2 linked regions of the Ovis aries genome follow. The protein of the gene in region 1 interacts with the protein of each later gene in a pairwise test. Links are inferred from orthologs where the notes say so. Each region holds a gene or a part of one and is shown on either strand. Other genes may lie near its edges.

What was found. The genes of interacting proteins can lie anywhere in the genome.
Region 2: the proteins of CCDC57 (region 1) and TSGA10IP interact in binary tests that used the Homo sapiens proteins (3 or more experiments, as listed by UniProt). The two-hybrid records come from large-scale screens. The link is inferred for Ovis aries from reciprocal best matches to the Homo sapiens genes CCDC57 and TSGA10IP.

Annotation. Positions count from the first base shown.
Region 1 is NC_056064.1:50,203,078-50,206,590, reverse strand, and holds part of CCDC57 (coiled-coil domain-containing protein 57), read right to left. Parts: intron 3,114-3,513; coding exon 2,979-3,113; intron 1-2,978. UniProt on the Homo sapiens protein: Pleiotropic regulator of centriole duplication, mitosis, and ciliogenesis. Critical interface between centrosome and microtubule-mediated cellular processes. Centriole duplication protein required for recruitment of CEP63, CEP152, and PLK4 to the centrosome.
Region 2 is NC_056074.1:40,484,866-40,488,950, forward strand, and holds the start of TSGA10IP (testis-specific protein 10-interacting protein), read left to right. Parts: upstream 1-1,276; 5' UTR 1,277-1,952; coding exon 1,953-2,099; intron 2,100-3,401; coding exon 3,402-3,535; intron 3,536-3,636; coding exon 3,637-4,085.

The sequences.
Region 1 (3,513 bases):
CAGTTTGCATAAATATATGCCAGGATTTAAAGAAAAATATGAAAAAACAGAAATGGAAGATATCAAAAAGAACAAAATAGCATCTACAGAGATGAAAAATACATTGTCTGAAGGAAAAATTCACTGGATAGGATGGGATTAAGAGCAGATAAGATACTACAGGAGGAAAGGCTAAGTGAACATAAACACAGAGCAGTAGAAAGCCTTCAAGCTCAAGAACAGAGTGGAAGACAAAAGAACAAGTAACAGCAGAGCCTAACGACTGCAGAACAATGGGAAGCAGACATACACGAACCCAGATCAATGAGGGGGTGCAGAAGGATGCAGAACGCGTTGGCAAAAAAATTTCAAATTTGATGAAAACCTGAGTCCACAGATCCAAGAAGTTCAACAAACCCAAAGTAAGATAAACACAAAGAAAGTCACACCAAAGAGCACATCATGGTCAAACTGTTTAAAAACAGGGATGAAGGAAATCTCTTAAAAACCACCAGAGGAAAAAGGGCACATTACATTCCTGCGGAAGGACAAATAAAAGAAACTGCCAACTTCTCATAAGAACCAATGAAACCTAGAAGACTTCCCACTAAGATACCACGCCGAGAGGTCCGGCCATGGAGTTGAGCTGGGGTGAACATTGGGTCAGCTTTATTCCAGAGAGCACTAGGGTGAACTAATGTAAAATTTCTGCAGTGGTATATATTACTTTTGTTTCCAAAGTGAAGCTATTTCTTCTGTTACCGCTAGTCCCCAGCTTTTCAAGCCACCTCTGGCTCCGCTATGCACCTGCCTGCCTCCTTCCAGCCACTGCTCTGGCCCCACTGCTGCTAAGTAGCTTCAGTCGTGTCCGACTCTGTGTGACCCCATAGATGGCAGCCCACCAGGCTCCCCCGTCCCTGGGATTCTCCAGGCAAGAACACTGGAGTGGGTTGCCATTTCCTTCTCCAATGCATCAAACTGAAAAGTGAAAGTGAAGTCACTCAGTCGTGTCTGACTCCTAGCGACCCCAAGGACTGCAGCCTTCCAGGCTCTTCCGTCCATGGGATTTGCCAGGCAAGAGTACCGGAGTGGGTTGCTATTGCCTTACTACTCCTCCTGCAAACATCCAACCTCCCTCTTTGTGCCCACTGGGCTGTTCGCCACCTTCTCTGAGGCAAAGCCTTAGGCTGCACCTGCTCAGGCAGACAGTAGAGTGGTCAGGGCTGTGCCAACTGGCCAGCACTGCTCACATTCCCCCTCTGCCACCTGTGGGGAAGGGACTACCCCTCTTAGGGCCTCAGCTTCCTTGTCCTGAACAACAGGATCCACCTCAAAGTTGCAGTGCAGCCCATTCCCAAGGTGAATCTTCTGTCCCTGTGGCTGTGGCTGCATTTACCCTAGCAGCCTGCCTGGCGGTGGTGCCTTGGTCTCTGTGGGGTGATCACTCCGGCCCTGCCGATGCGCCATCATCGAAACTAGTGCCAAGCAAAGAGGAAGCTGTGGCCACAGCCAAGAGGCTGCCTGTCTGTGCAGTGCAATCAGTGGTGGGCTCAGCGCTTCCCAGGAAGCGCCATGTCTTCCTCCCTGAGCAGCCTCTGTCTCGGCTTCAGTGCACGACAGACGCCCCTGCTGCTCCTACTTAGTGTCTGCCAAGGGCCCACCTCTACAGAACTCAGCACCAACCGCCGCCTGCCAGCCGACATCCGCCGCCTTACCCGGCCACACCCTTAACCTGGTCACAGTATTAAGGCCCTGAAGGGGGGACGCAGGTGTTTTGCTATTATCTAGAGGATTCCAGACTTCACTCCTCTGGGTCAACAGAAACTTGCACAGCATCCTCCACCACCCCAGGTCCCTGCTTGGTAAGGAGGCCACATCTCTGTGTTAAGACCACCAGGCCAGCTCACCTTCACTGGTGCCCGAGGTGCTGCTCTGCCACGCCCCCTCATGTTGCCTCCAGGGCCCCCTGTACAGAACAGAGGTGCACATCCCCCCGACTCTGCATGCGGCACTTGTTTCTGACCCCTCAGCCATTTCTAAGGTTCCTGTTCACTTAACAAGGCAACTAGGTACTGACAGGCCTCCCTGACCAGCGGAGCTGGTGCTTGGAGACAAATGTCTTCTTTTAATTGTCAGCCTGGCGGTAAAATACAAAAAAGAAAAATTTGGGTAGGGAGGCTTATTAATAAAAACAACAAAAAAGAAGCATTTGTTTTCTACCTAGAGAAGGTACCCATGCAAAAACCACCAGCGATGAGTCCCCAGGACCATAGGTGACCCTGGAGACTAGGGTTGGCCCCCCCTTTCCTCCTGGGAACACCAGTGCTCCCAAGCCTGACCACTGGCTGAGTGTGAATCTTCCCAGAGGTTTGTTAACAGACACACCTTCGGGAGCTTGACCCCTAGGGCATCAAGCCTAGTATGCCTGCTGGGATGCTCTCATGTGATCTTAATTAATCATCCATCTTAACTAATCACATCCATAAAGACCCTATTTCCAAGGAAGGTTGCACCCTGAGGCACCAGGACTAGAATACGCCTTTCGGGGCCACCATTCACCTTGGGGTCGTCCCATAGCCAGTGTCAGGCTCTGGCTGGCACACAGCAGCACGGGAGTCTGTGCTTTTTGAGAGGAACGGCCATCGTTACATATCGAATGGTTCAGTCACCACATGTGTAGAAGCGTGTTTTGGGATAAAGCTCTGACCTTTTGGTTCTCTGTGTTACCGTCTGCCATGGTACAATATCTGAATTTGAGGTTTTTTGATATTTCAGATACTAAAGACACAAAGAAGATTGAGTGCAGATTCCCATTAGCTGGTTGAGCTTTGGTCTCACCTGGTGTGAACAGTCATCTTAAAAGAAACATGGCTGCAAAGATCTACCTCCAGTGCTGATTCTGGTTGGCGTGCTTCCCCTCTGGTGGGGGTAGCGGGTATCTCCAAGGAGCCTGGGAGGAAGAGCTGCAAGGGAGACTCAGGAGGAGGGCGGCCCCTCACCTGCGCCTCCTCCTCAGGGAGTAGCCCATGTGTCCGCAGAGCCTGCAGGGCCTGGTCTCTCTCTCGGGTCACGGCCTTCAGCACCACCTCTCGGTCACACAGCCGCCGCTCCGTCTCCTGGAGCTTGGCAACAACCTGGGGAAAATGCAGACTCAGTTCATCTTGGGAGGATCAGAAGGGAGCGGTGCCACTTTCAAGGTCCAGACCAGCTCCCTACCCTGCTGGGAAGCAGAGGGCAGACACGAGGGTGAGAAACCCTAGGAAATATGTGGCCGTCAGAGCCAGAGGAGCCCAGCAAATGCTGGGGCCACCTATGCATCCAGCTCCAGAGGCAGCTGCCTGGCCATTAGAGACAGGCTGTGGGCAGGGACTCATCATTGCAAGTCCTGCTGATATAAACCAAACTGCTCAGTGAGGCCAAGTGCCTTCAAGTGCAAAGGATAACTTGGTGAGGGCCCAAGCCAGCTCCATGCTGCAGTGGACATACCCGGCCCTTCCTTCTGCAGAAAGAAGTCAGACAGCCCAGGGGAGTGCA
Region 2 (4,085 bases), on another chromosome or scaffold:
TCAGGGAGCCCGTCTCAAATTCCCCAGATTTAGGATTTGAAAGCAGCCCCCAGCCCCAGCCCCAGTCTCATTATAAAATTCCCTTTTTAGAATCCACCTTCCAACCCTTCATAATCTTGAAGCAGACTGGGAGTTTTGTGTTGGTAAAATGGGTTCTTCTATAACAATATCCTTTCACCCTCTCCATCATGTTTAGGGCAAATCCCAAGACCTTCCCACAGCCACTGGGCCCTACATGATCCGACCTCTGAGCCCCCACTGAAGTTTAAAATGTCAAAATATCAAAGAATATTACAAATGATTGTATGTCAGTGAAAATAAAAACTTAACATAAAGGCCTTTTCAGAAAAAATAGATCAATAGCCAGTAAAGAAAATTATAATCTAAGACTCCAGTGCAAAAGAGTCCCAGTGGAAGGGGAACAGATGGTCCTTATCTTATACTAGTTGTTCCAGAAAACAGAATGAGAAGAGGCTGCCCACTTCCTCACACAACTCCCAAACCAGATAAGGACAGTATCAGAAAAGGAAAAGTATAGAGCATTTCAATCTGAACCTGGAAGCTAAATTATGATCTACTAGAATAAAATGTAGGAGAAGAAGGCCCCACCTCGGAGTAGGGTAAGGACTTAAGACATTCAAAAGGCAGACCCTCATGCAAAACCTTTATGGATCTGACTACATCAAAATTCAGGATTTCTCCGAATCAGGGATGCAGAGAATAGACTGCTGGTTGCCAAGGGGGAGGAGGGTGGGAGAGGGTTGGATTTGGGAGTTTAGGATTAGCAGATGCAAGCTGGTATGTATAGAATGGATAAGCAACAAGCTCCTACTATGTAGCACAGGGAACTATATTCAGTGTCCTGTGGTAAACCATAATGGAAAAGAATACGAAAGATGATAGAGATACACATGTATAACTGAGTCACTTAGCTGTACAGCAGTAATTAACACATTGTAATTCAACTATACTTCAATTTAAAAAAATGAAAAAAATTAAGGATTTCTGCTCCACAAAGGCCCTCAGAGATAATATTGACAGACAGGTGGTTGCAATCTAGTGAATACAGAACTCCTGCACAAGTTAATAATAAGAAGCATAATACGCAGCTGTGAACAGAAACAAGCAGCTCACAGGAAGGGCCCAGAGGCAAAAAAGTAATGCAGAGCGGGTTGAAGAGGTAATCAGCACAACTCAGTTAAACTTACAATGAGGGGACGTCCCTGTCTGCCCAGTGGTTAGGGCTCCGTCCTCCCAGTGCGGGGGGTACAGATTCGATCCTTGAAGAAAGTGAACGTGTTAGTCACTCGGTTGTGTCTGACTCTTTGCGGCTCCATAGACTGTAGCCCTCCAGGCTCCTCTGTCCATGGGATTTCCCAGGCAAGAATGCTGGAGTGAGTAGCCATTCCCTTCTCCAGATCTTTCCGACTCAGGGATTGAACCCAGGTCTCCTGCATTGCAGGCGGATTCTTTACCATCTGAGCCACCAGGGAAGTCAATTCTTGGTGGAGGAATTATGATCCCACATGTGGCATGGCCAAAAGATTTTTTTATTTTTAATTATAATGAGATATCTTTTTTTTTTTTTTAAACCAGGAGGCAGATAGAGGGAGAGGGACGCGGCAGGTATTATCTGCTGTCTTCACAGGGTGTGAAGACCCTTTGGGATGGATGGTCCAGAGATTCCTTTGAGAGATGGAGAAACACAGGCTGAGCAAGAGTAGGAGGATTATACCGAGTCCATAGGAAGTCCGGACTTGGCCTGGATCTCTGGACTCCTGGGCCTGGACTCTTCCTCAGCGTCCTGCCGAACTCTCCCCTCTGGAAGGAAGCTGGCCTTACATAGAGCCTTCCTGGTCTGCTTTTGCCAGAGCCCTTGAGACAGGCTGAGGACTGGTTGCCATAGAGATGGTGGGCCGGGCAGTTCCAAGGTTGGCAGATGGGGGTGGGGGATGGGGCAAGACACCAATATGCTAAACGCCCACCAACAGTTGGTCAGGACTTCTTCCGGGAGACCTGGGCAAGACACACGGCAGCAGGCTCCAGGGGCCACCCCAGGTCTGCTCAAGCTTCTCTCAAGCACCCACTATGCTGAGCAGGTGAGAGGGGGCCCCGCGGGGGGACCGCCAACCGCCCAGAGGCAGGCTGGCTCTCTGGGGTGGGAGGTCAAGGTTGAGGGAGGCCACAAGATTGGAGCTGAGGCCCAGAAGAGAGTCAGGGAGGTCCGAGACGGGCAGGGACGTGGGGTGAAGTGGAGGATGGTGCCCAGTTATGACTCCCAGGCTTCTGATGGGGCAGTTTTGGCAAATTGGGAGGATTTGGGTTTCAGGAAAAATGATGAGTTTTTCCCTCCTTGGCTTTGCAAGGCCAGGGCCCTGTGGGGCACTGAGAAGACCTGTCCAGGGCCCAGAGGCAGCCCAGGGCAAAGGGGGCAAATCTGGGCTCTAGGACAGTCCACACATTAGGTCCTGGCTCTGCTTCCTGGCTGTGTGACTTTAGTCAAGGGACTTCACCTCGCTGAGCCTCAGTGTTCTCATCTGCATGATGTGGGTGAGAGTAAGCAAGGACCTCATAGGATCCTTGTGTGTGTGTGTGTGTGTGTGTGTGTGTGTGAGTGTGTGAGTTCAATAGCTCAGTCAAGTCCGACTCTCTGAGGCCCCATGGAGCATAGCCTGCCAGGTTCCTCTGTCCATGGAATTTTCCAGGCAATCATACTGGAGCAGGTTGCCATTTCCTTCTCCAGGGCATCCTCCCGACCCAGGGATTGAACTCACACCTTTTGCGTTTCCTGCATTGGCAGGTAGATTCTTGATGACTAGAGCCCCCTGGGAAGCCCCATAGAGTCCTTGGGAAGGAAGGTTAAGTGAGTTAGTGCAAGAAAGTCGTGGGCATGCAGCAGATGCTCGGTGAATAGCACCATTGCTTTTTAAGATTTATTTACTTATTTTTGGCTGCTCTGGGTCTTTGTTGCTGCAGGTGGACTTTCTCTAGTTACAGTGAGCGGGGGCTGCTCTTCCTTGTGGCGCTCGGGCTTCTTATTGCAGTGGCTTCTCTTGCTGCGCAGCACAGGCTCCAGGTGTTCAAGCGTCAGTAGTTGCGCCGTGCAGGTTCAGTAGTTGTGGTTCACGGCTCTAGAGCGCAGGCTCCTTAGTTGTGGTCCACAGGTACAGTGGCTCTGCAGCATGTGGGATGTTCCCAGATCAGGGATCAGACCCGGGTTCCCTGCACTGGCAAGCGGGTTCTTAACCACTAGACTGCCACTGTTGCTATTTTAATAATAATTCAGGTCGTGATCTGTCAGTTCCAGGGGTAACAAGGGCCCAGAGGGCCAGGCGGGGTGCACAGTACTGTCCGCTGGGTGAGTGGCTCAGAGCTAGGCCTCCTCTCCTACCTTCGCCCAGAGGAGTCTTGGAAGTGGTGATGGTGTTATCCATGCCCAGAAGCAGAGGTCTCAGAGCGCGGGGCAGACACCAAAGAAGAACCGGAGGCTCAGAGGCCGGAACAAGAAAGGGCAAAGCTCTGCGGAAGCTGAGGAGTAAGTAGCTGTGGAGGGACGGGAGGGATGCAGGGGGCCAGGCCCCGCTGGGGGCCGGCGTCCAGGCCCTGACCCCTGCCCCCTGCCCTCTCCCTCCTCAGTCTCGTCCCCTCTCCTCCTCGGAAACCCTCCTTCCCCTTCCAGTGGGCCTGGGAGAGCTTCACCGCAGACGGCCGGGCCTTGCATCAGCCGAGCTCCATCTCGGCCCCTGGCCCCCAGGCCCTGCCTTTGCCCCCAGCGGTCCATCACCACAGGTCCCGGCGCAGGTCCACGCCCACCCTCCTGGAGGCCCACGGCTTCTGCTGGAAGGCAGAGGGGCCGAACCTGGAGAGGAGACAGCAGCTCAGGGCCTGCAGCTGCACCGCCATCCCTCCGGGCAGGGGGACGAGCCAGGAGCTGGAGCTACCCGGGGAGGGAGGCCTGCAGTCACCCAGGAAGTCCTTGGGGTCTGGGTCGGAGCCCGAGGAGTCTGAGTTGGAAGGTCTGGGAGACGAGGAGGCCGAGAGGGGTCTGATTCCGGGAGAACTGCCCCAGCTCCCCAGGAAGGGGT